Linked DNA regions of Diceros bicornis minor. The protein of the gene in region 4 purifies or fractionates together with the protein of the main gene of each other region. This does not show direct contact. Links are inferred from orthologs where the notes say so. Each region holds a gene or a part of one and is shown on either strand. Other genes may lie near its edges. The genes, in order: UBN1, CABIN1, UBN2 and ASF1A.

The links.
Region 1: the proteins of ASF1A (region 4) and UBN1 purify together in Homo sapiens (affinity purification with mass spectrometry; 6 studies listed by BioGRID and IntAct, counting the BioPlex papers as one, with this or other methods). This does not show direct contact. The link is inferred for Diceros bicornis minor from reciprocal best matches to the Homo sapiens genes ASF1A and UBN1.
Region 2: the proteins of ASF1A (region 4) and CABIN1 purify together in Homo sapiens (affinity purification with mass spectrometry; 4 studies listed by BioGRID and IntAct, counting the BioPlex papers as one, with this or other methods). This does not show direct contact. The link is inferred for Diceros bicornis minor from reciprocal best matches to the Homo sapiens genes ASF1A and CABIN1.
Region 3: the proteins of ASF1A (region 4) and UBN2 purify together in Homo sapiens (affinity purification with mass spectrometry; 3 studies listed by BioGRID and IntAct, counting the BioPlex papers as one, with this or other methods). This does not show direct contact. The link is inferred for Diceros bicornis minor from reciprocal best matches to the Homo sapiens genes ASF1A and UBN2.

What each region holds. Positions count from the first base shown.
Region 1 is NC_080765.1:43,773,074-43,780,360, reverse strand, and holds the start of UBN1 (ubinuclein-1), read left to right. Parts: upstream 1-4,284; 5' UTR 4,285-4,988; intron 4,989-7,287. Other genes in the region: GLYR1 (cytokine-like nuclear factor N-PAC), read right to left, coding at 1,954-2,033, 2,983-3,019, 4,034-4,071. UniProt on the Homo sapiens protein: Acts as a novel regulator of senescence. Involved in the formation of senescence-associated heterochromatin foci (SAHF), which represses expression of proliferation-promoting genes. Binds to proliferation-promoting genes.
Region 2 is NC_080774.1:28,585,533-28,593,318, reverse strand, and holds the start of CABIN1 (calcineurin-binding protein cabin-1), read right to left. Parts: upstream 3,022-7,786; 5' UTR 2,981-3,021; intron 2,807-2,980; exon of another isoform or gene 2,598-2,806; intron 1-2,597. Other genes in the region: DDT (D-dopachrome decarboxylase), read right to left, coding at 5,472-5,544, 6,967-7,184, 7,440-7,547. UniProt on the Homo sapiens protein: May be required for replication-independent chromatin assembly. May serve as a negative regulator of T-cell receptor (TCR) signaling via inhibition of calcineurin. Inhibition of activated calcineurin is dependent on both PKC and calcium signals.
Region 3 is NC_080742.1:86,985,272-86,992,930, reverse strand, and holds the start of UBN2 (ubinuclein-2), read right to left. Parts: upstream 3,002-7,659; 5' UTR 2,721-3,001; coding exon 2,250-2,720; intron 1-2,249.
Region 4 is NC_080762.1:17,473,856-17,480,834, forward strand, and holds the start of ASF1A (histone chaperone ASF1A), read right to left. Parts: upstream 3,016-6,979; 5' UTR 2,711-3,015; coding exon 2,602-2,710; intron 1-2,601. UniProt on the Homo sapiens protein: Histone chaperone that facilitates histone deposition and histone exchange and removal during nucleosome assembly and disassembly.

The DNA.
Region 1 (7,287 bases), on a different chromosome or scaffold from region 4:
ACTTAATGCCTAGTTGTTCACAGTATCCCCACTGCCTGGAATGCCCTTCTTGTTCCTGCCTATCCAAATTCTATTTATCCTCCAGAGCTGGCTTCACATCCCATCTCTTCCATCAGCTTTCTCTGACCTAGCTGTTCTCCACTGATCTCTCCTTGTTCTAGAACCCTTTAGCAATTACCTGCATCACTCCTTCTGTCCTTACTCTCATCTGAAATGTTTATGTCTTGTCACCTGAGCTCCTGGAAGGTGGAGACCACACATTTGCTTTCCTGGAAGTTCACTTTGGTGTCAGCAACGCGGAGTGTGGCTGCACAATCAGCACCGCTTTATGCATCAGGACAATTTTTTGTGAAATCCATAGCATTGGGCCGGCCCCATGGCTTAGCGGTTAAGTGCGCACTCCGCTTCTGGCAGCCCGGGTTCGGATCCCGGGCACGCACTGATGCACCACTTGTCCGGCCATGCTGAGGCCGCGTCCCACATACAGCAACTAGAAGGATGCGCAACTATGACATACAACTATCTACTGGGGCTTTGGGGAGAAAAAGGGGAAAAAAAAAAGGAGGAAGATTAGCAATAGATGTTACCTCAGGGCTGGTCTTCCTCAGCAAAAAAAGAAGAGGATTGGCATGGATGTTAGCTCAGGGCTGATCTTCCTCACAGGGACAAAAAAAAAAAAAAGAAAAGAAATCCATGGCATTACCAGAACATTCTCTCTTCCAGAGTGTCTCTGGTTCTCACAGCACTGGGCCAGTGACTACCTTGAAATATCAACATCAAAAGGCTGCTAAATCAGTTTGTGACAGAGAACTGGGCCTAGGTAATTAGTATATCTATATGGTTAACGTAAACATGCCATGCAAACTCTAAACTGGGATAAGCACTCAGACGTATAAACTTCTGAGTCAGTGAAGGGCAGTATTTATAACAGATTTTGCTATGGAATATTATATATCGCTTTCTGGGAATGCGTATTTTAACCATTGGTATTAGATTTATCAGAAAAGCCACAGATGTTTTTCAGACCCAAAGCTACATTTTCCTGTAAGAGTCAAAAATAGAAATACAACTACTTAAAGAAATCAAACCATCTAGCTAGACCCAAGTAATCAAATTGATGTAGTGATGAGACAGCTAAACAAATCACCAGAAACTTAAGTAAATACACATTCTCTCCCTGACTGTAAGTTATATGGCCTATCAAAGAATCTCAAATTGATGGTCCTGATTTCAACTCTAAGACAGATCTGGTTAAAAAGCTTTACTGTTACAATGTTAGAGCAAGTCATCTAATTTCACAAAAGAGAACAGAATCAAACAACTACTTTTATTTTTATTTTTTATTTTTTTAAAGATTTTATTTATTCATTTTTTTCCCCCCAAAGCCCCAGTAGATAGTTGTATGTCATAGGTTCACATCCTTCTAGTTGCTGTACGTGGGACTTGGCCTCGGGTTGGTCGGAGAAGTGGTGCCTTGGGGCGTGCCCGGGATCCGAACCCGGGCCGCCAGCATCAGAGTGCGCGCACTTAACCGCTAAGCCACGGAGCCGGCCCCACTACTTTTATTAAGGTAAATAAAATTTTAGTTTTCGCTGTATACGTTATGCATGAGCCACATGATAAACAGCCATTAAAAAGAGAAACAAACATGGCCCTTATAATAGGAACTGCCTATGAAGTTGGGTAAAGAGATGTAAGAAACTATCTCAACATGATTACCATATGTAGAAGATGGTGAACCCTCATTCTCACTTGACATTGTTATTGGCCCCAAGACAATTTCTGCGAGATAAGAACAGCACTTTATATTTAGGTAAGAAGCCAGAATGATATGCCATTCTTATACACTACAGTAAGAAGGAACTAGGGTCCCTAGAATATTCTCAAAGCAGCCCAGACCCACGGCAACGCTCAAACAAAGGGACAGTGCAACTCTTGGGGAGCACTACTCACTGATCTTCTGTTCCAAAAAACTTCACAAAAAAGCATTTCTTTCCACGCGGTTTCTTCAAGTCCTTGGGTGGATTAACAATCTGGGGGATAAAAGGGAAAAAAAGTTTTTTTCCACAGCTCCAAATTAACAAGAAAAAAACCTAAATAAAACAAAAGGAATATGACTGAAAAAGAACCCAGAGCCTAGCACACGTCCAAATGTGGCACTTTATCATGATGTGAGGAAACATGCAAATATTCCAGAAGTTCCTACATCTAACATGTAGCACAGCATTCAATAGATACAATATCCCCTTTACTGCAATGGCCGCATTTTAAAAGCATTTACAACTAAGACCAACATTATTTGCCCCCAGTGTGACCTTGTCATCACTGAAGAAATACACAGGACACTCTTAAAAATACTTGTGTGCAGGAAGAGTTGTGACAGGTAATAGTGACAAAGAAGGACAACCGAGGCACTGAAAATGCCATATTGCAAAGAGACAGTCTAAAGACATTTCCCGGGCTCCAAACAAGAATATAACAACAGAACATTTGGAAAGCTATGACGGATCGCCTCATGCAAAATTTGGAATGCCAACTTTTGCAAAGATGCACTGGAGAGAGCAGCACATATGGTAACATGGAAAGATTTAAACTTAGTTGGGACAAAAATACTTTGACTTTTCACTAACCTACATTTAGATTTCTCTCTTCCTGGAGAATTTATTTTCCTCTCTTTTTGTTAGATTTAACTGTAAAGCTATATTCAAGTTAGAATTGATTTCCAGAGTTAAAAGACTTCACCACAACTCTCTCTGATTCAAGAAATAAGCATTTACTGTAGATTAAATGACCTGGTTTATATTATATTGCTTTTTCTAAACAAACTGATAATAGAGAAAAAAAAATTCTGAGTGTCATTTAAGTAGGCCCAGTTTGACCCAATGCTAGAAATTGAGGCGGGTGCATCTTACATTCTCTACCTTCTCAAACGCAACTTCAGATGTCTTCCTGTAGTAGCTTCTAGTAGTAGAACACACTCACCTTTCCTGGCCAAGGAGGATACCGGCCGAGTTTCCCCCTAGAGAAAACACAGAGAATCAGCATTTGCCTTGGAAAAGCCAGTCCATCTCCTTCAACCCACTCAACATGCAAGTTATTTTCTAAATCTCCACTCGCACCCTCAAGTGCCAGAACAAGTTTGCAAACAGGAGTTCTTAATCTGGCTTCCACAGCTGGGCCCAAGAGGCCCAAATCCCTCAGAGCTGGGATGCAAAATTGTAAACGTATGTGCATAAGGTATGTGCATTCTCCTGGTGACAACAAATACACAATAATGAAACCACAAGAATCACTTGTCTAGAGCCTCCCCGGGACGGGGGCGGGGAGCAGTGTGCTCTGTAAACACAGACTTCCCCTCGCCAAGTCTGGTTTAATTCACCGCGGGACGGCCCGGCTCTGACAAATGCTAATGGGAGCCTTCCTCTGGGTCGGGAAACGAGCTACGCAGCTCCAGGGAGACGGCGAGCGTCAGTCTCAGTTCGGGCGGTTGTCTGGGACACACGAGCGGACCACGAAGGCACCCAGAAAGGCACTAGTCCCCGCCAAGCCTCCGAGTGTAAAGGAGAAGTCCCCCCTCCATTTCTTCACGGGGCAGCGCCAACAGTCCGGTTTCGACACCCCGGGCCGAGCCGCCGCACAGGTCGGTTCCATCGCAACGCGGGTTTTGACGGGCTCGCCCGGCGAGATGGCCCCGCCAGCTCCCCGACTCTGCCGCTTTCCGAGACGCCTGGGCAAGACCTCGAGGACCCGGCGTCCGCAGGAGCCGCGCGGCACCGGGCACTCCCTCCACCGTGGCCGCCGGCGTCCGGGTCCGGGGCTCAGAGACCGGCCCGCCGCGGCCACCCTCGGCCTCAGTCCCCCGGGGCCGGGCTGCCCCTTCCGCCCGGCGTCGCTCCCAGCGCCGGCACCTCGTCTCGCCCTCTCTCGCGGCCTGGAGCGCATAGAAGGGCAGCTCCGAAGCTGGCGGCGACCCCCGTGCCCAGGGGTGCAGCTTCGCGGCGCACCTCGCTCGGCCCCGGCCGCCCGGACTCACCACACCAAATCGCCGAGCCGCAGACTCACAGCCGCCATCTTACCACCCAACCACGGCCGACGCACGGGCCGCCGGGAACATCAGGGCGCCCCGGCGCCGCCCATTGGAGTGCGCCCGGCCACGTGACGGGGGCCGGCTGTCAGCGGCCACGCCGCGGCTCTGACGTCACCGCGCCCGCCGGGGCTCATTGGCCGGCTGAGCGGCACGTGACCCGGGAGCCGCGGTCTCCGCGCGCCGGAGCCCCGAGACTCCCGGCTCCTCTCCCCCTCCCTCCGGCTCGTGACAACGAAGCGCCGGCGGTCTGATTCGGCGGTGGAGGCGGCGGTAGTGACTGTGCGGCCGGCCGAGAGCGCGAGGGAGCCGGCCCTGCGGTCCGCCCCGCCCCGCCCCCGGGTCCCGGCCTCCAGCCCCCTCCTCCTCGGCGCTTCCGTTACGGCCGTTAGTCTCGCGCGGGCCCCGGGGCCGGCCGCCTCGGCGCGCCGGCAGCTGCCCTGACAGACCTCGGCGCGGCCTGGAAGCCAGCCTCCGCCCGCGCCCGGGGCCCCGCGCCCGGCGAGCTCTACGTGGCCGCGCCCGGAGGGCCGACGGGTCCTTCGGAGGCTGCTTTCTGACGGCCGGGGTCCGGGGAGCGGCTCCGAGCCCGCGTCCGCGCCGCAAGTTGTCCCGGGGCGCCGGTGCATCCCGCCCCGAGGTCGCGAGCTGCTCGGCCGACGTGGAGCCGGCGTCTCTCCGCTTCCTCCTGGGCGGGCGCGGCGGCACGGCCCGCGAGGCTCCCCCGGGCGCGCGGGGACCCGGCCATGGGCCGCGGCGCGGGCCGGCCGCCCGCGGGGAGGCATGGCTCGGGGGCCGGCCGCTAGCGGCGCCGCAGCCCGGGCTCCCGGGCCGGCATGAGGACGGCCGCCGGGGGACGAGTGCGGCCCGCGGGGCAGTAGCCTGCGTCGCGCCGGGGACAAAGGTGCGTGTCTTTGTGGGGACCGGGCTCTCGCGTCTGCCTTGCTGTAGTTTGACACTTTGAGGGAAGTTGGGCGCAGGCTGTTGTGACAACAGGAAGGCAGGTGCCGGGCGCGGTCTCGATACGTTAAAACTAAGCCACTGAATGGGAACTGTAATCGGCGGTTCAGCACAGCGCCTGCCCAAGTGTCCGCACACCAGGGAGGGAACAAAATTTAGAAGGTCCCAATGCCAGTTGCAGACTCCAGGGAGTCCGAGGGAAGAGTTAACTTAGAACCGGACTGATCTTGGGTCGTATCCTGCTTGAAAAGGTGGCGGGTCCGCCCGCGTCTCCCATAGGCGTTTTGTTCTGCGGAGACTTGGGTTGTAAGGGGCTTTTAGCGAACTAGCTTGTTCGAAGCCTGGTTTTTCTTGGGCGTTCAGTTTCCCTAAAACACCGTCCGTTAGTTTCAGGAACTGTCATTGACTGTTTTGTGTTTTTTAAAGACAAACTGATCATTTAAAGCATGTTTAAGATTCCAAAAAATAATTTAGTGAAATTAAACACACATTCCTAATTTAAAAACTTTTATTTTTTGAGGACTTGGAAGGGTATTTTAATGACTTGGTAAAAATATGTAAATCCTAAATTGACATCGCACTGGGCTACAGGCATTCCCGTTAGTCAGGAACATGGCAAAGAATATATTGTCTAATATTATTCTGGAAGTTCTAGCCAATGTAATAAGACGTGAAACAAAAATAAGAAAAATAATTTTTCAGAAAGGAGAAGACAAAATTCTCATTTCTGTGGATGAGAGGTCAGCCTATTTTGAAAAAAAAGTTAAGGGAAAACCGTTAAAATAAGAGTTCACTTGTAAAGAAACTAATTGTAAAATCAGTATACAAAATTCTCCTTTTCTTTGTTTCACCAATAATCCGTTTGAAAATATAGTAGTTAAGATGTTGTGTAACAAAAAAATATACAATTCCGGGGAATAACCTCTGAGATACAAAAGGAGGCTAGCATTTCTTGGATAACATCAGTTGAGTTTTTTAAGAGGGGTGTTTTTGTGTGTAGAATACTGTGCTTTTACTTCGAATAATGTTCAACTCATTAAAGTTGAGTATTTAAATACTTAGCTTTTCTTAAGCTTTTTAAATTTTACTCAAATCTTGTTTTATTTACAAATCTAAGAATGTTTATATAAATAAAAATACTTGATCTTTGACAAAGCTTCGATTAAGGCGTCAGTTTAACAGATTAAATTTCTCTAAACAGTGAATTCGCTTTACAAAGTTAAATTCCCTTAAGTGTTTTAAACTGCATTTAAAGTTTTATATGCTTTTTCTCTCAAATACTTCAAACTTATAGAACGGTGAACTTATAAAGCTAGTAGTAAAGTCTTTCCAAGGACTTAACTCTTGTAAGGCTAATAAATGTGTGAATGTAAGGTTCTTTTAAACGCACACTTTCAAAGTTATATTTTCTTAAGGATTTCAAATTAAAATTGTAAGTCTAAGTCATTCATTCATATGTTTTTGTTTTTTCTTTTTTTGTGAGATCAGCCCTGAGCTAACATTTGATGCCAATCCTCCTCTTTTTTTGCTGAGGAAGACTGGCCCTGGGCTATCATCCGTGCCCATCTTCCTCCACTTTATATGGGACGCCGCCACAGCATGGCCCACCAAGCAGTGCGTCGGTGCGCGCCCGGGATCTGAGCCGGCGAACCCCGGACTGCTGCAGCAAAGCGTGCGCACTTAACCGCTTGCGCCACCAGGCTGGCCCCCATTCATATGTTTGATTCTCTTAAATATTGCAAATGATTTAGTAACAAGTGACGGCAATTATCATGATGATTATAAAACTTAATCCAAGATCTAAGTGTTAATATGCTGTAGGTTTGATTCTGTAGTCTTATTTCTATAACTTCTCAGGCTGGCAAAGTCACCTCCACAACTAAGAGAAGCAGATTTACCATATAGGTTTGAAGTTAAAATGTCTAAAATTTGGGCCAAGATAAGGTTACATTTTTATTTTATTTTATTTATTTTTTTAAACAGTTATTTTAATTTTATTTATTTATTTTTTTCCCCCCAAAGCCCCAGTAGATAATTGTATGTCATACCTGCACATCCTTCTAGTTGCTGTATGTGGGACTCGGCCTCAGCATGGCCAGAGAAGCGGTGCGTCGGTGCGCGCCCGGGATCCGAACCCCGGGCCGCCAGTAGCGGAGCGCGCACACCTAACCGCTAAGCCACGGGGCCGGCCCTAAGGTTACATTTTTAAATTACTGCCCAGACAGGGGCAGGGACCTGGTTGC
Region 2 (7,786 bases), on a different chromosome or scaffold from region 4:
GGAGGGACACTGCTCTGAGAACACCTTTGTGTATGGCTCTGACTCTTAGAACCACAGTCATGTTTCACACTCAAAAAGTAAACAATTGAAATCACCTAAGATCTAGGGGGAACCCCAAATGGAATATACTAACAATGAACCTACTGTATTACAAATAACATAACCACACTGAAGGGCATAAGGAAGAAAAGAACTAACCTAAGCAACCGTGGAAAACAGCAGCCTGACTGGATACTATAAGGCTAAAGACAAAAAGAACTGTGATTCCAGGGTTGGGGCAGAGAAAATACAAAATGAGCCTAGAACATCTTGCGGTGCCAGAAAGTAAGCAAGTGCTCAAAAAATTGATGAGGGTTTGTCACAGCTAACCTCAAGGAGATCCTAAATAGCCAAAGCCGGAACAGTGAGCAACAAAATGATGATAATATTAGATTCTGACCCATAGAATACAATGAATATCCATGGCGTCCATCCTGACACAAATAATAATCAAATAAATAAAGGAGAGAAGGGATAGCTCTTCCTTCAATTGAATTTCAATTAATAAATGTAAAAGGAGAGAGAGAAATAGGAAATTACCTTTAGGCAAACAACACAAAGATCCACAGGTGGATGCTAAGGTCAGTGAGTGTAAATCTGTGAGAACCGGAATTTGCATCCTCTCAAAGTATCTCCCCAAGACACTTACCGACTAGAAAGGGAAAGAGAGTGACTTCACAGTGTAGAAACCTGGCAACACCAACTGAATCAAGTGATCAAGGTAAATATCGCCAGTAATAAGACACAACATCATCTTCAACTCCTCGATATGATGCACTGAGAAGAACACCATGTTTGTGTTGTTCTGGCCAAAAACACACAACGTCACTCCAATCATGAGAAAACACCAAACATACCCAAACTGAGGGATATTAGACAAAATAACTGATCACTACTCTTTACAAGTAGAAGGCCAAGACAAGAAAAGACCACGTAACTGTTAAGCACTAAGGAGAAATGACTTAACGCAATATGGGATCTTGGATAGGATCCCGGAATGAAAATAGAACACTGGTGGAAAAACAGGTGAAATTCGAACTAGGTCTGTAGGTGTGATAATAATATTGTACCAATGTTACTTTCCTGTTCTTGATAATTATACTATGATTATATAAGATGTTAACCTGAGGGGAAGTAGGTTGAGTGACCTATGGGAACTCACAGTATTATTGCTGCAATATCTAAATCTAAAATTAGTTTAAAATAAAAAGTTTAAAAAGAAACAACCATCTGAGATTATGTATTTATCATCTGTAGCAATGTGAGGATGGGGACCACATCTGTATTGTTAACCACAAACCCACTAAAAGGAGCTTAAAAAAAAGCAGCTACTGCATATACATAAGAAAGTATCTACTCATTTCTCGGACTCGCAGCCCAGCAGTTGCACTTTCTCAGAATAGCGCATTCAGGAGTTCAATCTTACAAGTTTCCAAATTCCTCAGAGCATGGTTTTCACGGCCTTAAGAACACACGATAAAGAAGAGCACACTCTGAGCATCTCATACCCGGGTCCAGTGATGAGCCGTGACGTCTCCTGTGTGCTCTGGCCCGGAGCCGGGAAGCCTAGGTCTGCAGCTCAGGGTGGCACTACCAGGCTGTGCCGCTGACTTGCTCTAAGATGCCCCTCTCCGAGTCTCAGAGTAGGAAGCTCTAAACTAGACCAGGCGTCCGTCCACAAGCTAATTAGCCCACAGTTTTTGTACAGCCCAGGAGCACAGAATGCTTTTTACATTTTTAAGTGGTTGAGAAACTTCGTGACACATGAAAATTATATAAAATTCTAATTCCAGTGTCCATAAATAAAATTTTATTGGAAAATGGCCACTCTCCTATGTATTGTCTTTGGCTGTATCCACAGTTGACACCAGAGTGGAGTACACAGAGTCTGGCCCACAAAGCCTAAAATACTTACTCTTATAAGTATGATTATACTTATTATATTCACAACATATTACAATACTATTCCTGGGCCAGTCCCGTGGCTTAGCGGTTAAGTGCGCGTGCTCCGCTGCTGGCGGCCCCGGGTTCGCATCCCCGCGCGCACACGACGCACCGCTTCTCCGGCCATGCTGAGGCCTCCTCCCACATACAGCAACTAGAAGGATGTGCAGCTATGACACACAACAATCTACTCGGGCTTTGGAGGGAAAAAATAAATAAATAAAATCTTTAAAAAAAATACTATTCTATTATTATATTTACAACAAAAGTTTGCGGGCCCTTGAAGCAGCCCCCTCTGAGGATATTTCAGTTCTAACCACGGTTATGAACCACACGGAAGGCACCCTGGCCGCCCGGGAGCCGACCGTCCCACGGCCACGGCCTGTCGTACCCAGGCCCCAAGACTGAAGTGGCGCCCCCAGCCGCTGGAGCAGACACCTGCGAGCGCCGGCAAGCTCCGCCTGGCCAGGCCCGCCCCGGCCCGGGAGGCAGCGCAGTCAAGACCGCCGTGGGGAATCGGGCTGCCCCCCGGTTAGCTGGGTGACTTTGGACGAGTCCCCGGACCTCCCGGCCTCGGTGCCCTCCCGGTAAAGGGCGATCATCACAACACTCACCTCGCAGGGCTGCTGCGAAGGTGAAGGGCAAGGACGCGAGTCAAGGGTCAGCGCCGGTCTCGGCCCGGGCAGACGCGGGATCAATGGCGGCTCGTGCTGTGGTCCCTGAGACCACTCCCGAGGCCGGGCCCGTCCTGGCCCCCGGGGCGGCGGCTCGCCGTGAGGCGGCCCCCGGGGCGGCCTGGAGGCCCGGCCTCGTCGCTCCCGCGCTCCGGCCTCGGTTTCTCCGACGGCCGCACCGAGGCTGCCGGGGGATCCCCCAGCGCCGGCCGCCCCTCAGGCTCGCGCCCCCACCCCGCCCCGGCTCCGCAGAGTCGCGCCCCACCTCCCGGGGGCCGCCCCCAACCCGCGCGTACACCCGCCCCACGCTCCCCGGCACTCACCAGGCATCTCCACGGCAACGGCCCGACCGCCCCGTCCCCCGCGCCGGCCGGCTGCGCGCCTGACAACAAGGCGCGCTCCCATTGGCTGCGGTGCCGGCTCCGCCAGCCAATCAGCGAGGCGCACGCGCTGCTCCACCGCCCGGCCGGCGGGCTGCTGGGCCCCTGCGGGTGGCGTCGGGCGCCGAGCCGAGCGGCCTGAAGCGCATCTCGAACCTCCGTGAGTCTCCGCTGTGTGCGCGCGCTGCTGTGGGCTCGGAGCGCCGGCTCGCGGAGCGGTCGGACTCCCGGCTCCACCGCTGGTAATACGTGTGAAGAGTCGGGCTCGGTGCCTGGCCCCGAGCAGTCGCCAAATGACGGGCTGTGTTATCGTTGTTACAAGCGGGACAGGTGCTCTGAAGGCAGTGGAAACGTGGGGAACGTTTAGAGGGAACCCGGGGAGGAAGAGTCGTCTTCTTCATATTACCTGTGCCTCACCTCTTTCCGAAAAGGATTTGAAGCCCAAAGGCACAGATGCAATCAACTAGTGAAACAAAGGGGGGAAAAACCCAAAACTCAGAGACCCGGGAAACGAGGGAGTGACAGCATTCCAGAGCCGAGAAGAGGGTCCCGCACGGAAGGGTTGCCGAGCGCGGCTTCAGCTTCGGGCTGAGAGACGTCACGCTCTTGGGAGCTAAGCGTTTTGGGGGAGGCCTTCACCCTGTGGTTGAACCTCATAGCTGCTGGAGTCCAGCAAGGATGATTTAAATAGCAATGAATGACATGACTTTCTTTTTGACTTTCAAGACAGTAAAATCCTGGTGAAGAACTCATAGAGTCAGTTCAGTACAAGAAAGCTTTACTGATATGCCAGGAGGTACAAAAATAATTGAGTCACTAACTTTGATTTTGAGAGGCGTACAGCCTTGGGGGACAGGGGCAATGAACAGAAGCATAAACAGATGGTTTCAAAGTTTCATGGATAACATGCAACCTAGGGTGCAGCCTCCACCCCCAGTTGTATCTTGAAAGGGGCTCTGGAGACAGTCTGAGACAGTCGAAAAAACATGAGAAGGGTGGTCCAAACAGCAGGGAGCTGTGTGGCAAGGGTTTGGCGGTGAGAAAGAGTGCAGGCCACAGGCAGAAGCCTTGGGCAGCACGGTATTGCCAGGGGACAAAGCTCAGGGCCACAACGGGGAGATAATGCTGGAGAGGGGGGAGGGCCAGTCCCCACAGCAAGCAGATGACATCCCTCTCACTACAGTGGGGTGAGAGATTTAAGGTGGGGAGACCAGATTGGAGGCTGTTGCCTTATGGTCCTGGCAGGGGCTAGGGCTGAATCCCTCCTTGGGCACTTCAATCGCTCTTTTACATACAACCCACAAATATTCCCTGAGCCCCTCTGGGAAGCAGGACACCCATGTTGGCGGAAGGAATGACTGCAGAAACAGTTGGGACAGGGAGCCAGGGGAAGGAATTCCAAGCTCTAGCTTTTCGTGAGTCTTCAGCAGTGGTCAGGTACAAACACAGCAGGCAGAGGCACATTCCACTGGAAACTAACTTTGTTAACTAGGTGGACTGCGTAGACTGAACATCTCCATCTGGTGTTTCACTGGTGCACTACAGACAAGGATGATCAAACCTTTAACTGTGCAGGGAAACACAGCACCCACCACAGAGTCTTAAGACATGTAAACTCTTCATTGAACATCTGGAAGGAAACTGAAAAGGACACTTCCTCTGGGCTCCCCCCACCCCACCTGTATATTCTCTGAAATGCAAAAGCATGACATGGTATTTTGATGGGGGGGCGGAGATCCCATTCATTCACTTTCTAGTGGCAGACATTGCCTTTCCAGGTTTGCCATTCTGGGACATGGATTTTACAAGGTGCACAGCTACAGAGAATTCTCAGCAAGACTCATGGGAGAAGACGGAGTTTGGCAACGCCCAGGAAAGGTCTCTGAATCCCAGGCTGCCCTGCTCTCCTGCTGGGCACAGCAGTCCCCTTCAAGGGGAGGGAACTGCCCAGACCAGCCCAGGCTGAGAATGGAAACATCTGGTCAGCAGAGTCTGCAGGAAGGCCCAGGCTAGAGCAGGCTGGCAGCCTTCCCTACCAGCCTGCACATGGGCATGGAGAGCAGGGCCTCCAGGCTGAGCCCTCCACCCTCGGATTTGAGCAGCCTAAATACAATACATGAAAGAGCGGCCCTGAAGACAGGCAACATCCCACCTCCCAGGTTCCCTCAAGTCCCCACCTCATTAGCCAGCCCCTCTGCCCAGGATGGCCCAGAATGCCAGGGAGGGGTAAAAGGAAGTAAAGAAGTCGTGTCTGAAAGACGAAGCTCTCTTCATTTATTAGAATGAGGATGGGGAAGAAGAGGATTGTGAGGTCACAGGCATGTCTGCACGTGGGGGTGCCAGAAGCTGGTATCCACCAAGCCCTCACTCTGCCAGAAGGCTTCTGTGGAAGGGGCCGCCAGCTCACAGATGCCCTGGATGCTCTCCATGCCAATCATAAAAAAGTGACGACTGTCCCCTTCTTGCCAATCTGCCAGGGCTCCAGGGGGAGAAAGCGCATAATTATCCTTCAGGAGACAAAGAAAAAGATGTCATCAGCTCCTTGGCTAATTATTCCAAGACCCCTAGCCAGGCATTCCCACCATGGGCTCCCCAGCCAGCCGGCCTTAGCCCCCCGGGCATTTGCAAGCCTGCCTCTCCTCCCAACCCCCAACAGGGCAGTGGGCCTGTCAGGGGCGGGGTGGTGGCTGCACCTCATTGTGTCCCACCCAGGAAGGCTACTCAACACAGCAGCCTCTGTGGTCACTGTATGCCCTGTCTATGGGCTCAGAGGGCAGCCCTCCCTCTTCCAAACTGCAGGCTCCCAGGACACCCTTGGGGGGAGTATGTGTGACCACCTCAAGTTTTCTCATCTGTAACTAGGCATAATGGAGGTATCTACCTCATGGGGGTGGCATGTCTGCATGAGCGGGTGTGCAGAGGGGAACAGAGTTTGTAAGGATCAAATGGGATGATGCCCGTAAGGCACCTATAGGGCACCTGGCGCGTGATAAGTATTCGCACATTACTTATTGTTGTTAGAATTATCGTCTCTCCTCACCTTGAGGACCAGGTCCGAGCACCTCCCAGGAGTGACCATTCCTCACCAGCCTTTCTGGGCCAACAAAGGCTCCATTCTCAAAGGTTCTTTCAACCTTCTCATGCCCTTAGATCCTCACAGGCATGGACTGGGCTCAGGAATATTTTTCGCCCAGGAAGAAACTTTAACCTTGCCACAGGATCCCAGGTTTGGGAGCTGTAGGGGCTTCCTGGGGAATCACTGAATCCATGCCTCTCTATTCACAGAAGAGAAGGCTACAAACCAGAGAGGGTTCACTTCCAGGTTTGTCTGGGTCCCCAGCTCTGCTAGACCCAGAACCCAGGCCTCCAGACATCTGGACCAATGCTCTTACCACTACTCCGTGACCCTCCTGGGAGCCTTACCTAGGACCTGGTTGGGCCACAGGCCCAAAGGCCACAGCCTCAGGACATACCCAGAATTCCACCTCACCAGGCCAGAGAAATTCTCCAAGAAAATTACTCTTGATTTTCTAAGATGTAGGCAGCTGATATGGCTATGGCTTTGTCAGATAACAACATCCTAACCTGCCAGGTGCGGAAGCAAATATAATACATTGCCATCCCATGCAGTGTCCCCAGGGAGTGGTTAAAGGAAAGGCTTCCCCCTTCACAGATGGAAACACAGAGGTTTAAGAGGTCACGCCTTGCCCAGGTGTCATAGGGACAGCTGCAGAGCCAGGAATTCATTCAATTCTGATACCACTCTGAAGGCTGACCCTCCACCAGGGGGCCAGAGAGGTCAAGGGTCAAGTCTTCTGTAGTGCCAGGAATTTATTTTTTCCCCCAACTTTAGGAGGGGCATTGAGGTAGGATCACTATCCCCCGGTGGCGCAGCAGTCCAAGAGGGTCCTCTCCCTGCTCCTACGCACCGGTCCTGGTCCAGGCCCAGTTCCTTGGTGAGGAACTCGAAGAGGCGGGCGCTGTGGCCGCGGTTCTCCTCGGCCGTGCCCACCACACCGATGGAAGAGACGAGCAGCTGCGCGCAGGGCTCGGTCGAGCCGTTCACCGCCATGGCCAGGCCCGGCCGCACCGTCGCGTTCACGCGCTGCGGGGGACACGAAAGAAGCCGCTGTAGGCCAGGCTCGCTCTGAGGACAGAACGGCGCGGGGTCGGTCCGAGACGCACGGGCCCGTGGGATCAGGACTGGGGGCACCGGCCGGGGTCCCTGGAGGTCACGTTGGGGTCATGGCTGGGGAAGGCGACACGGAGCAGACGTGGGGAGTGTGGAGAGCGGGAGGTCAGGGGTCCCTGTCGGTCACGGTGGGACAGCCGGGGCGTGGACAGAGCCCGACCCCTGGTCCACCGACTTCCCCCAACCCGGTGCTCCCAGGCCCACGCTCACGTCCTCGGGTTTGCCCAGGATGGCGGCGGCGGCCGCGCAAAGCCGCTTCTCTAGTCCTGCGGGCACGCGGCCGGCGGGCAAGTTCGTGTCCAGCTCAAGGAACGGCATGTCTAGCAGGAAGGCGCGCAAACCACCACCGCGGAGAAAGAACGCGCGGAGTCCGGGTCCATGTTCCAAGGGTCAGAGACTAGGGGGCAGGGGCGGGGCGCCACGGGAACCGGGCTCCTCATTGGATGGGCAGGCAGGCAGCGCCCCCCGATTGGCTGCCTACCCCGGCCCGGCCGACAACCTCGGCGTACGCGGGAGCTGATTTCCGGAAGTCCTGCCGCCCCGCCCACTCCGTGTAA
Region 3 (7,659 bases), on a different chromosome or scaffold from region 4:
GTTGTATGTCATAGCTGCACATCCTTCTAGTTGCTGTATGTGGGACTTGGCCTCAGGATGGCCAGAGAAGTGGTGCCTTGGTGCGCGCCTGGGATCCGAACCCGGGCCAACAGCATTGGAGCTCGCGCACTTAACCGCCAAGCCACGGGGCCGGCCCGAGGATCTTCTAAATACAAACCATATGAGTTAACTGTAAGAAATTTTGTTTTGCTAAGACTTGGTACTAGCATAGAAAGAAATACTAATAAAATTACGTATAACCACTCTGTGCCTCCTCATTAGTAAAGTGGGGATAATGATTCCTACCTCATGGAACTCTGCTGCACTAACTCAGCAAGTCATGTACCAAACTTAGAACTGTGTCCAGCACATAGCAAGAACTCAGTAAACATTAGCTATTAAGTATTTTAACCCAAATATGATGTGTTTTTATCTGTAATTTATGAAACAGATTAGGTAGTAAAACTGCAAACCTAATTTATATTAGAAGATCAAATACAATTTCTTTGAAAAATGCTCCAATCCAATATTTTCAAAATTATTTTAGGGAAAAAAATGACATCACATTTATAAATAATAAGGGCACTAAAGTGAGTCTACAGGGCAAAATGCTATGTGGAAGTGCCCAAAATGATCTCTATCCTTAACACTTCATTTTGGTTGCAAACATTTAGTAATGATTTGACCACATATTTGTAAATAACGATCAAAATACTATTGGCCACAAAATAAACAAGATCTAGTGACAGTTTAATATGATATTTTTAAACTAAAGAGTCATTCATTTGGGCCGGCCCATGGCTTAGCGGTTGGGTGCTCGCGTTCCACTACTAGCGGCCCGGGGTTCGGATCCTGGGCACACACCGACGCACCGCTACTCCGGCCATGCTGAGGCCACGACCCACATACAGCAACTAGAAGGATGTGCAACTATGACATACAACTATCTACTGGGGCTTTGGGGCAAAAAAAAAAAAAGGAGGAGGATTGGCAATAGATGTTAGCTCAGAGCCGGTCTTCCTCAGCAAAAAGAGGAGGATTAGTACGGATGTTTGCTCAGGGCTGATCTTCCTCACACACACACACACACACACACACACACACACAAAGAGTCATTCATTTCAACTATAACGATAGTTGAGGATGAAAACAAAACAAGAGCCTTCTAGAGTCCATTAGACCTGTGCTAAAGCAAAACCTAATAAACAGCATACATAACCTCTAAACAATAGAGAAATTGTTCTCTTAATACTGTTACTCTATCATTTCCCTTTTTAGTTTACTTCTGAAGATCATCAACCCACAACAATAAAAATTACAATTACCAACAAACCTCTCTCCTATCTCCATTGTTCACTAGTTCCATCAAAGGCATACCTACATATTTTCAATAAAGTTTTTAAAAATTCAAAGCTAAGATTTTTTTCATTACTCTCCAAAATTACAATGGCCAAGTGCAATATCCTCCAACTTGGACCTATAAACTAATGACATGCACTCAAATAAGAATATGATTGTAGGCGCCAAATAAACCAGGAGAAACACCTTCTCATTCAATTACAATATAAACTCCAGAGAAAACAAAGCTAAAAAGGTTTACCAATACCAACACAAGAGAGCAAAATAGGTAACCAGATAACTAATCCACTTCTCCTTCATTCCTAAAGTGGAATCCTTAGTCTGAAAAATTTCAGATTACTTTTAAATCCCCTTCGATTAAGAAAGATACCCCCGCGCTCCCAAGCACATCTCAGCAGCCACAGCGTCAAGCATAACAAACACTGACGAAGATGAGGATGATACTAGAGAGGTTACACAATCTCACTGCTTCAGATCGGGGGGCGTGTCCCCCAAGGTTTTCTCCTCCCTTCTACTGGAACGACAACAGGAGCTCCACAAGGAAAATTCAACCACGCAACTTGCAGGGCCCCCACATATGGGGAACAGAGAGAAAAGGAGGAAAATGTGAGGTTTTGAAAGGTGCAGAGGATAAATCGGCTGGGAGCTGCGTTTGCAGCGGGCGCACGACGGGGGTCGGAGGAGCCGGGTGGCAGCCTCGGCCAACCCTGGGGGACAGAGGAAAGCAGCACCAACTACCCGTCCACCCACTCGGCCCTGCCCCTTCCAGCCCACCCTCCCGGGCGACCCGAGACACACATGGTGGGCATCGGAAAGTGCAAACCACTGGGGAAGGCCGTCGGGTTCTGAGGCTCCCAGGGTCTAGGGGATGAGGAAAGAATCTTCTGTACCCGTTGTTCTCCGCACAGCAGCAGCTCCGGGTAACTGAACTCCACGCAGCTCTCGTCGGTGGGATCCTTGAGCACCAGCTCCAGGCGCACCGTCTCCCTCGGCGGCCTCTGCTGCGGCTCGGCCCGGGAAGCCGACTCCCGCGGCGGGGGCGGCTGCAAGTGCAGCTGCGGGAGTGGCGGCGGCGGCGGCTCCGGCCGCGGGGGCTCGCGCTGCAGCGACATGGGCGGCTCGGCGCGGCTGACCTCGCGCGGGGGGAGCGGCTTCTCCCGCGGCGGGGGCTGCGCGTCCGACCGGGGGGCAGCCTCCCGCGGGGCCGGCTGCTCCGCCCGGGCCGGCTCGCGGTAAGGCTGCGGCTCCAGCCGGGGGGGCTCGCGAGGGTACTCGGGCTCGCGTTCGGCCCCCGGGTACTCGGGCTCGCGCCGCCTCACCGGTGACAGGCTAATAAACGCTACTCTGCGCGGCTCCGCCATCCCCACTGTTCTGGCCCTCTGCCTTCGCTCGAGCCGGCGCTCGGTTCTACGCCGAGTTGTTTGCCTGCCCGCCCTTCCTTTTGCTCTCCGTCGCTTTTCTTCCCTCCACCACTCTCAGCCGTCTCCGCCGACGCCACCGTGAGTGCGGACCGTGCCCCCTTCCCCGCCACTATGTCCTGATGAGCTCCACCGCCATCGCCAGGGTCGCCGCAGCCGCCATGTTGGATCCCCCACATAAATAGAAGCAGGCCGCTGAGCGGGCGCATGCGCAGACAAGAGACGCTCGCGTCCACCGTCGTGGCTGTGGCTCAGTTTTCCTCTTTTCCTCCCAACAGTCTGGAGACCAGGCAGGTCAGCGGAAGTGACGTCATGGCAGAACCGGTTTCCTTGGAAACGGAGACGCTGTCTGCGCCCTTCCTAAAAGGGCGGGGTCTGGGGTTTCCTGAGAAGCTTCCTATTCGCGCCCGGAAACCGGAGGCGCGAATGGGGCTCGTCCAAGGGAGAGGGTCGGGATGTGGCCGGGACTGACCGAGTCATGGCGCCGGGTCCCGGCTGGCGCGAGCTTTCCGCTTTCGGCCCTAGAGAGTTGGGGTTGTCAACTGATTATTCAAGGCGGATACGGTGAAAGGGTAGAGGGCCGCGCGGACCGGCCGCTGTGCCTGCCTGCCCAGCGCCCCCGCAGCCCGAAGTATCGAGGGAAGAAAGGAAATGGCTAACTCCAGCCGGACTCGCCCTCGGCTCCGCGGAGCGCAACACTGACTCCCACAGGCCTCCCTTTCCCAGACCGACTCCTGTTTGTCTCGCCCGGCCGCGGTGGGGCTTGTGTGTGGCCTGGTCGTAAAATGCGCAATAACGTTTTGCAGTTGGGAAATTAAACAAGCAGATGGCCCGTTCTGGGCTCGTTCATAAACCCTTAGCTGTTGAAATTAGTGATAGAAAACGTCTCAGGAGGGAGTGGTGGTGTTTCAGGGGATGTGCTTTCCGAAAGTAGAATGCTAAATGACCCATTTCGGGGTGGAGGAGGAGCATTGATTGAGAAAGCCTTGTAGGCACACCTTGCAGACAACTAATTGGAATTCATTTTAAAAGAGTGAGAATTACTATCCATTTTAATCCATTCAATAGAAAGCAACTTTGAGGGCTCGCCCTCCACATCCTGAAAGGAATCCACGCCTCCTGTTGATTCCATTAACCGGATTAACAATGTTAACACCTATTGATGACTCTGGTTGAGTCAGTGTGACGTCAGACAAATTATGAGTAGGTTCAGTTTTTTGCTCTCCTATTACTTTCCCTATTTGTATAAAGATGGTGATGGAATCGATGGTTCAAGAGGTCCCTCCGAGCTCTAAGTTGCTATTATTTTTCCTTGGCACTGTGTTTTACCCCCATTATCTTCTTTCCCATTGCTGCTATTCTGATTCCGCATTAGGATCTCATTTCTGTATTGTTTTAATAGTACTTAAGTGACCGCTCTATCCTCAGTCTCTATTCCTGCTAGTCTTGCAAAGGGGCTGTATTAATGCTTCTAAAACAGTGGTGTTTTTTTGTATCATTCCTGTCCTACCTGCACGTTACCTACGATGTTAAATTCTATACTTAACTCATATTCAAATATTCTCCACAGTTTAGATCAAACAGCAGACTGGTGGTCTGTAGACCAAATAGTTCTGCAGGTGTGTTACTCATCCAACATTATCTTCTGCTAACTTCTAACGCATTGAGTATTTTTCCAACTTTTTGATCCATGACCCACAGTAAGAAATAGATTTTACATTCTAACCCAGTATACACACACACACAAACACACATATCTGAAATACAAGTTTCACAATACTTCCTTATTGTGTAGCATAAAGAACAAAGTTAATATAAACACATTTTAGAATACAATGTAGAAACAAACCTTAACATAAATAGTACAGAAGCATATTAGTAAAGATTTTATTTAATGCCATGGAAGTCCTTACTTGTTCATGGGTTTTATTCCAGTCCAGAAGGCATGAGGACAATGCTACATCACATCTGGTCTACTACTGAGCCTGATCTTTTCCTTTATTTTTAAATGGGTCAAAATTGAAAATCCTAGTTCATATATACGGGTATTGTGAATAGCAATAATGTGAATCCACTTTCTTCTTAGCAATAAATTCTTTAATCTTAATCTAACATGATAAATTCATGTATTGCAATCATTTTTCTGTGTAAATGAAGTACCAAGCCACAATAATTTATTCTCTTCATAGAACATCATGTTTAATCCAATTATTTAACGTTTTGAAGACCAAATGAATCTTATATACAATTGTTTTTGTTTAATGTTTCAAATTATCTTATGTGTTTAGTAGTTTTTAACAATTTTTTGTATCTCTACTATGTTTCCTGATCATATTTGTTGTTCCATCACTTGCAATTCCATTATAAATTGTATAGTTTAATTTTTATTGAACTAAATGCTATTTTCTAATTCTGAAAATATTTTTCTCCATACAGACAATAACTCCTCTATATAATTGTTTTGCTACATATATCTGGCATAGAAGTGTTTTCCTTAAGAGTATTTTAGGGACTTATGGACAAGTTGATTGTGCTGTATTTTCAAATGTCCTTTTAATTTTGAAGGTATTAAGCTTTCATTTGCAGGAAATTCGTTGTATTTTTCTTCTTAGAATGAGATGTAAAGTCAATGTTTTCTGATGAGAGGAACGTTTTTCTCAGTATTTTCACTATTTATGCTTCCACATCCAGCGCTAAACTTGAACATGCTCCTGTATTTTTCAATTTATTATTTCTTTTTCTTCTAATAATAAAGCAACTTCTTTGAGAACAATTTATGCCAATTTGATTAATAAATTATAGTACACACACACAACATACTTGATGACACACCCTATCTCAAAAACATACTTAAAGTTCTTCATTGGAACTCAGTTGAAAATTCTGGGTTTTCTATCAGCAAATAAAATTCTCTTGTACTTCACTTGATAAATCACAAGTAGTTGTGATAATGTAAATTTAGGCAGTACAATGTTGTCTGTCCAACAAATTAACCCAGGAATTCCAATGCGATACCAATGTGTGTATCACCCCTCCCTCCCCGACTCTAGCCTGGGATAAGGATTAGTGCGGTGCCCTCTGATATTTTCTATTAAATTAAATTCTGTTGTAGTCTATTTCATTTTTTTTAAATGCTGCTTGTGGGCCGGCCTGGTGGCGTAAGCGGTTAAGTGCTCCGCTGCGGCCGCCCGAGGTTCGCCAGTTCGGATCTCGGGGGCGCACCAACACACTGCTTGTCAATCCGTGCTGTGGGGGCGTCCCCTATAAAGTGGAGGAAGATGGGCATGGATGGTAGCCCAGGGCCAGTCTTCCTCAGCAAAAAGAGGAGGATTGGCAGATGTTAGCTCAGGGCTGATCTTCCTCAAAAAAAATAAAATAAAAAATAAATAAAATGCTGCTTGTGACCCTCAAAATTGATTTCACAATCCTCTAAGTGGTTATGATCACCAATTTGAAATGAACAGCCACTTTAGCAGTTAGAAAGTGAATAGGTGAGGAAAAATTAATTTTGTTGCTCTGGGGACTTTTTAGGGGTAGAGCATGTCTACCCGTTATGCATTTCCTTTAGAATTTGGAAAATCCTAAATACTTTTATTGAGTAGTGAGGGCCTTTGAGGAGGCTGGGAAGAGGTCAAAATCAATGCAAAGTGAGAATGTCTTTGTCTAAGATATTAGATTATCTAAGATATCTAAGACGTTAGTGTTATCTAAGTGGAGTGCTATAAGATCAGGCACTGTTTTCGTTTCTGTTATATATAAAATGTCCTGTGAGATTAAGCTACTCATAACTTTTTCATCAATAATTACTATCTAAAAGATCTTCAGCACAGCAATTTTGATAATTTTATGAACTCTCAAATCTCATGTTGAAGATCAACGTTCCAGGGTGTGGTAATCTTGCACCTTGGAGAAGTGTACTTACAGAAAAGGGGCAAATCAGGGCCGGCCCACTAGCCTGGTGGTTAAGTTCGGTGTACTCCACTTTGGCAGCCCAGGTTCAGTTCCCGGGTGTGGACCTACACCACTCGTTGGTGGCCATGTTGTGGCAGTGTCCCACATACAAAACAGAGGAAGATTGATACAGATGTTAGCTCAGGGCGAATCTTCCTCAGCAAAAAAAAAATAAGCAAAGGGGCAAATTAACCTCACTCCTTAGTGCCTTCTCCAATAGTGTTGTATCCTAGAGGCAGAAAGCAGGATTGTCCCCAAATCCCTGTCTCCCATCTTCCCCAAAATGAATTTAGCAATAAGGTAAGATGGTTGCCCTCTGGGGTTAAACAATAGGAAAAACTGAATTGGCAATAGCAGAGATAAACAGAATCAACGTAAATAGTTAGAAAGGCCCACCGTCCAATGTTATGTCGGTCCTTCTACGTCAGTCCTCTCTGAGGAAGGCACATTTGAGTTAAGACCAGAATGTCTGGGGAAGATTCAAAGGAAGAGTATTACAGAGAAGGAAAAGCGAGTGCAAGTCTGCAGAGAGAGCGAGCTTGGTGAGGTGGAAGAGAGGTCAGAGTGGTGGGAGCACAGTGTGCAAGTTGGGGAGCGATGTAAGAGACAAATCCAAGAGGGAAGAGGGGCCGGCTCACAGAATGGCACAAGGAGCTGGGATTTTGTTATAAATGAAACCAGAGCCATTGGAAAATTTTAAGTAGGTGAGTAATATGATCTTGGAAGAAAAGCATTTCAAGAAAGTGGGAGTGTCAACTAACTGTTGAACACTACCAAATCTAGTAAGACGAGGACAGGGAGATTATGCCTGCATTTGGCAAAATGGAGATTATTGGTGACCTTGATGAGCTTTTTTGTTTGTTTGTTTTAATTTTCAATTCAGGCAAAGAATGTTGATTTACTCAAACTCTAGCTTGTGGCACATTATCAT
Region 4 (6,979 bases):
CAGGCTTGGTGACCATCAGATCAAACACATCCAAGGTCTCATATCTCCCAGATGACAGGATAGCCTCTGCTTAACTCAGTGGATGGGACAGCAGTCCACTGATATAAGCATTATATTAGAAAGAACTAAATTATCTTAAGAGCAAATACTCAAGGCTTTTTCTGAAGCAAAGCTACTGTGCCACTTTTTAAAGGAAAGTAAAATATTTGGGGGCTGTTGACAAGTATGAAAAATGGTCGCCAACTTCTCGCTTGGGACTTGAGACAAAATTATCAAGTGAAAATTTCTCTTCAGAATGTTCTGTAGTTTCATCTCAAGAATAGATTTTTTTTTTTCCTTAAGAACTGCAATACGAAAGTATGGAACCTGTAAGAAGCCTTTGCTAAGTAAACTCAATTTTCTTAATCCACACAGCCTCTAGGTGGAGTACACAAGCACAGCTCCTTTTTGAAAGATTCCTTTGCAGCTTCGGTATGACTCAGCTTAAACTCTTTGAAAAAATATTAAATAAATGCCAAGTATAGATGCCCAGGAAAGTGAGGTGTACAAGCAGAAGTAGGTATATTCTTGACATTAGTATTGTAAAAACTCTGATGTGATTCAGCTGAGTTCTGAATAGATCCCAGTTAAGAATGGAGCATAGTTGTGCTTCCATGAATGGCGGGTTTCAGCCATCCAATGTTTAAGCCCTGTAACAACATCCTGAATCATCTATCATCCTTGTCAGAACTAGCTCCTAAAATGGAAGGCATCACTTGAGAAATATCTGTAATTTGAAGAACTTCTAATGTCTAAAACACTATAGTATATGTTGGAATGGACTGATCAATGGTTTCTGTTGCATTCACTCATTTTTACATGCAGATGGCAATAAAAAGGAAAAGTTAGTGCCTGTTAGGTATGAAAAATGGGCCTGGTAGCTGAAATGCTTATAGTAGTACTCCAGGAAAGTAATCAAATGGTTTCAGAGTGATACGAAAAATCATCTTTAATTTTTATTATCAATGGCCTATTTAAAAATTAGTTTAATAAATGAATCATCTTTCAAAATGTGACACATATATGTGTATACAGGCTTTATATATGTATTAAAACTGTATGGGAAGAGCACAGATTAAAGTGTTAATTATGGTTACACACAGGAGTGAGTTGGGTGAAGGCACTGCATACAGAGGACTGTTTATATGTCTGTACAACTTTTAAAAGTTTATTACAATGAGCATGTATTGCTTTTATAATTTAAAAAGTTAACACCCTACACAAAATACATTTTATAGAGATTAAAAATTAATTTTTAAAGTGAAAATGCTTTACATGCCATTAGAATAATTTTAAATGCATTTTGTTAAGTATACTTGTAAGTCCAAAGAAGTATGTCTGTCTAATTGTAAAATTACCATTGATGAAGTTAAAAAGTTTTTCCCCTCAAATTTTGAAAATGAAGCACTGGACTATTTTAACAAAATCTAAGAAAAGCAAAGATAAGACCTTGGCAAGTTTTAGCTTTCTAAATGTTACTGCACATATTAAAAATATTTCTCTTTTTGAAGACCTTAAAATGAACTTAGAAAAAATAGTAAAAATTTTTGTATTGCCATCAGGACTTTACCTTTTATTTCCTAGCCCACTTTTGTGTTTTATGTTCAGGGTGTTTGGATGTGGAGTTATTTTAATTAGGTTTCAACACGTTCTTGAAGCAAGTCTTCTTTCAGACTACTTAGAAGCCAGTGATTACATTTAAGTATTTTACTTATTTCTGCTCTTGGGTTAAATGTAACTTTCTAGCTTAGCAATATTTTTCTTCCTGAGAGAGAGGAGAGAAGATTTAGTCATTACGGAAAAGGAGTCCACGCAGCCCGGGGCGAGCCTGCGCGCCAGCATCCCGGGCGCCCCGAGCATCCCGGGCGCCGGCCGGGCGGCAGCGGCCGGGAGCCCCCGCGGCCCCGGGGAGCGGGCCCGAGCCTGCGCCCGCCTCCCCCGCTGGTTGGTCGAGGGAGCCCGAGATCCGCGCGAGGACAGCCTGGCTCCCCGCGGCGCGGCCGGGCACGGCCACCCAGGAGAACGGCAGCCCGGCGTCAGCTCTAAAAATGGATCTGCCTGGCGCTCGGGGGCAGGAAGGTGGGCAGGCGCCGCGCCGCGCTCGTCACCCGCGGAGAGGAGGCGTCGTGACGCCGGGGTCGGTGGCCCAATTCTCTCCTCCCGGTAAGATGGCTCCGCTGCTCACTCGCCGGCGCGACCACACACGAGCCTGTCCCTCCCCGGTCTCCTCGCCGGGGCCGCCGAGGCCGTTGGCGGCTCGGGGCCAGCCCGGCGCGACCCCCGGCCCCGCGACCCGCCCGCCCGCCAGACAAAGCTGACAACATGGCTCCCTCCGCTCGCACAAGTTCCTCGCAAGTTGAGCCGCGGCGGGCTTCCCGGCTGCGGCCGACCCGCGCGCGCCTCGCGCCGGCGCCCATCAACTTCAAGTTTCCCTCCGCCGAGCCGAGCCCGCCGGGCGCCGAGCCGCGGCCGCCCGCCCGCCCGCGCGAGGCCGGGCCCGGGAAACTTTCAACGTCTGCAGCCCGCAACTGACAGCCCGGCGGCGGGCGGGCGCCCACTCACCTTCAGACAGGTCCTCGATGCACTCGAAGGTGATCTCGAACTGGAACGGGTTGTAGAAAGGAGAAGGGTTATCCAGCACCACTACATTGTTCACCTGAACCTTTGCCATATTTTGAAAACACACAAACAATGGGGCCGGGGCTTGTTGCGGCACAATAAAGTCCAGCGCGCGGCCGCTCGGGAGAGCGCAGACCCCCGCCCCGGCGCCGGCCCGACGTCGTGCAGCGGCGACTTGAGAAACTTTTTTTTCCTCTTTTTATTTACACGGGAACACTCCACAGTGTTTTGCAGCTTTCCTATTTCACTAAACTACAGCCCATTCTGCTCTGATAACTAGCAGCGTTGCCCGCGATTGGCTGCACCCGAGCTCTGACCCTCCTCCTCCAGCGAGGGCCGCGGCGGCGAGCAAGATGGGCTCCCGCTCCCGGAATGGACTCGGAAACTTTAACTGCGGCTCCACCTGCTGGTGTGGATTAGGACAAAGGCGGAGAACAAAGTGAGTGGAATACGGGCTGGGAGGCCCGCGCGGAAGCCGCCGGCTGCGGCGGCGGCGGCGGCGGCGGCGGGGGGGGGGGAGGGGCGGCGCAGGCCCCGCCCCCCGGGCCCGCGGCTCCCGCGCGTCACGTCGGGCGGGGCCCCGGCGGGGCGGGGCCGCGGCCGAGGCGGCGGGGGGCGTGGCCGCGGCGGGAGGCGTGCTTGCGGCAGGCACGGCGGCGGGAGGGCGCGATCTTCGGCGACACCCGCCCCTCCGGTTTGCTTCGTGTGGTTTCTTTTAACGCTGTTTTTACATCAGTCCAACGGCTGTGCCGGCTCTGTACTGAATTTAGCAGATGTGATTCGGTTGTCCACACTAGGTTGGCTTCAGCTATCTATGCATTGAGTAGTATTTGGGGTAGAGAGAAGAGTTGGTTGCAGTGGAAATAAATTGCATTTTATAGACCGATACCAGCTCGAAAGGAGCAAAGCCATTTTGGAAATCTTGTTCTCGGCCAATATCTGCGTTTGGGCGCCACAGCGCCGTTAGTTAAATATACAAAATGAAGAGCGAGGAGGCGCTTTTCCACACACGCTTTGCTTGGAAAATCTGAATAGGTAATATTTGGGCTCCACCTGGCTCTTCTTCCTCCCATTCCCATCTGCAAAGTCCTAGAATAAGAGGAAGAGATGTGATCAGTTACACCGGAGGTTTCTGCCTTTTGGTAGGCAGAGCGGAAAAAAAGAAAATGGAAGTGTCAGGAGACCAAAGGGCGGCAGATGAGAAAGGAAAAGGAGAGTAGAGAACACACAGGCTTACCAACACAGTGATTTTCAAAAAACTCATGACCTAAATCGTTAGTAAGTAAAAACTTAGGGCACCACAAGCAAGTCTGGAGGAGGCTTTGCTTAATTCATCAGCCCTTAGTGTCGATTCGTGTATGCTGCTTGACTACCGTTGTGGGGAGAGGGAGAGCTTTTAACACACGTGTGAGGTGGTTGAACTGTTTCTGTTTACCATAAGTAAGAGTGGTATAAAGGTTTGCTTTATTCCCTGCTGTTCATAAACCGTCATTTTTCGCTTCAGTGTTGTGAATGAAACCACTAAACTTGGCTAATTAAATTCAGAGAGAAAGTTATTTCTTAAGTGTCATCTATGCTAGAAGAGTTTTCTCTGAGTATAGTGCCCAGAATTTTGAGTTGACATTTTTTGGGCGTTGTTCATACTTAAGTAGGTTGCTTTTGATGCAGCTCTTCATCTGATGGTCTTTTGCAAGTTACTATGGGACAGCTAATACCAGGCCTCCCCTCATTTAGGAAAACTACTTAGAGCAGGGGTCCCATTTTATTGTCAGTGGATTAAATAGTCAATAGAACCTACCAGAAAAGATTTCCTCAAGCCCAGTTGTTTGTGTACATTAGAGTACAAGAGTCATATTGTGGTGATAGACACAGATTACTATGACTGATAAACTATATTCTCTGATCATTCCTATTAGTACTGGTCCTAACACTAGCTAAGATAAAGTATAAATTGCCATATGCTGTAAGACACACTGAATATGTAAGATAAATGACCATTTGAAGATTAAAACATGACTCCCTTGAGAATCATGTATGCAGTTCTCTGATTATTGCAGGCACTCTTAAGAGAAGATACTAATTCACTTGCTTTGTGAAAATGACATTATGAGCTTGGTAAAATGAAGTACATTTTGCAATCTGACCATAGGTGTGTCGTAATAAGGTTCGTCTTACTGTAAAACTCACTTTTGGTGAATATGCTGTATCAAGAACTGAGATGATCTACCTGGATACCACCAGTTTGGGTTATTTTATTTGAAATCTTTTGTTTAACATGTCATATACAACAGTATTTAAGGGGGAAAAAAAAAACCTCCCTGATATTTTGCTGGAAACCACAAGAATTGGCTCCAGTTCTCTCATATTGCCATATTGTCTTAACTCTTTTATTACTACTCCTCAAAAATATTGGAGAGCCTTTGAGCACTCTCTCCAATAATTTCCTCACCAGTGACAATACTTTACAGGAAAGACCAAAGGGATTCCCAGATGTGCCCTGGCATATTTCTAAATTAACTGGCATGCTGTAGGGGGAAAAAATTATAAAAGCATCATTCTGGTTTTCGAGGCAATCTATAGGATCTGTTGTTGAACAACTTTTTGGTGACTCTCAAACAGCTAACCATATTGCAACAGATGGGTCACCATGAAAGACTTCATGTATTGAGTACCCAAGGGGGACCCCATGATGCTTAGAGGGCTACATGGAAAGTAATCCCCAAATCTCTTCTCTCTGTTCAGATTACTTGGGAGAAGGATGGCTGAAAGAGGTCGTTTGGCTCTAAGATGAACAAAGCTGGAATTAGTGCCTAGGACAAAGATACATGAACGTAGTTAGCTGTTGTTAATGTGCTGAATTGTAGCGCCCCCCCCCCCCCAAATTCCTATGTTGGAACACTAAACCCCAGTATCTCAGAATGTGACTGTATTTGGTGATAGGGCTGTTAAAAGAGGTGGTTAAATTAAAATGAGTCCCTTGGGGTAGGCCCTAATATAATCTAACTGGTATCCTTATACGAGGAGGAAATTTGGACATACGAGACACCAAGGACGCTGTATGCACAGAGGAAAGACCATGTGAGGACGCAGCAAGATGGCGGCCATTTGCAAGCCAAGGAGCGAAGCCTCAACAGAAGCCAACCCTGCTGACACTTTGATCTTGTACTTCTAGCCTACAGAGCTGTGAGAAAAGATGTTTCTGTTGCTTAAGCCAGCCAATCTGGTATTTTGTTATGGCGGCACAAACAACCTAATACAGCTATGATTGTTTTCCCTCAGAATTAAGCTTATTTGATAATCTAGGTTTATTTAGTCTAATTATGGATCAGTTATGGAGTGCTTTCTGTGCTGTGAAATGAAGCGTGGTTGAGCCATGCGGGTAGGCTGTGCAGTGGTGTGCTGTAGCTGTTGTTCAGAGGAGGTACCCCCTGTTGGGCATGCGGCTTAAATTCTGAAGAGACAAGATGCAGCCTGCTTCTGGGATCCACAGCTTCTCTGCAGCGGGCTTCTGAGAATCTTAACCTTGAAGTTAATTTGAAGTCACACACAAAACAAGATCAAAGAGTGAATCAAAATGTACTAGAATTAAATGGGATTAAATTAAAGTATACTGAGTTAAAATGTATTAGAACTAAGAATTAAATCAAGTCTCAGTCCCTCCCTGCTGCAGAAGTTATCATAGGAATGGAAGTGTTAACCTCTTGCCTTTGTTCAAATCCTAGATTCCACCTGGGATAATTAGGTATCACTGTGTTGAATTCTCTTTCAAGAGACATTTGCATTATTGTCCTCATCCTTAAAAAAAATTCTCATTTAAGGCTTGTTGTAATATGATCCTTAGTTAGTTTAAAGGGCTCCCTGTTATTAGTTATAGGATGTTAAAATTTAATGATAGTTTTAAATGAAATTTTCTGTATAAATGTAGAATGTAGGGATTTGCTGGAGTTTACAGACATTTCTAAAAGGAATAAATCCTACAGTAAGAATTTTAATAATAATTCATTATATATATAGAGAGAGAGCATTTATTATGTGAAATTATTGTGCTAGGCTCTGTGGAACATTCCACACTCTGTGGAACATAGATATTATCCTCAACAACCTTATGGCCTAGTAGGAAAGATAACTCTGTAATCAAGTCAGTATGATACAGAATAGAAAGTGTTAGATGCAACTTTAACCAATTATGATTCAAGTTCTGCGGGAGGCAAAATATGGTATCACAATAAAGACTGTGTGTGTGTGTGTGTGTGTGTGTGTGTGTGTGTGTGTGTATGGAACGTGTATATATATATGGTATGATCTTTTCTTTACCATCTGT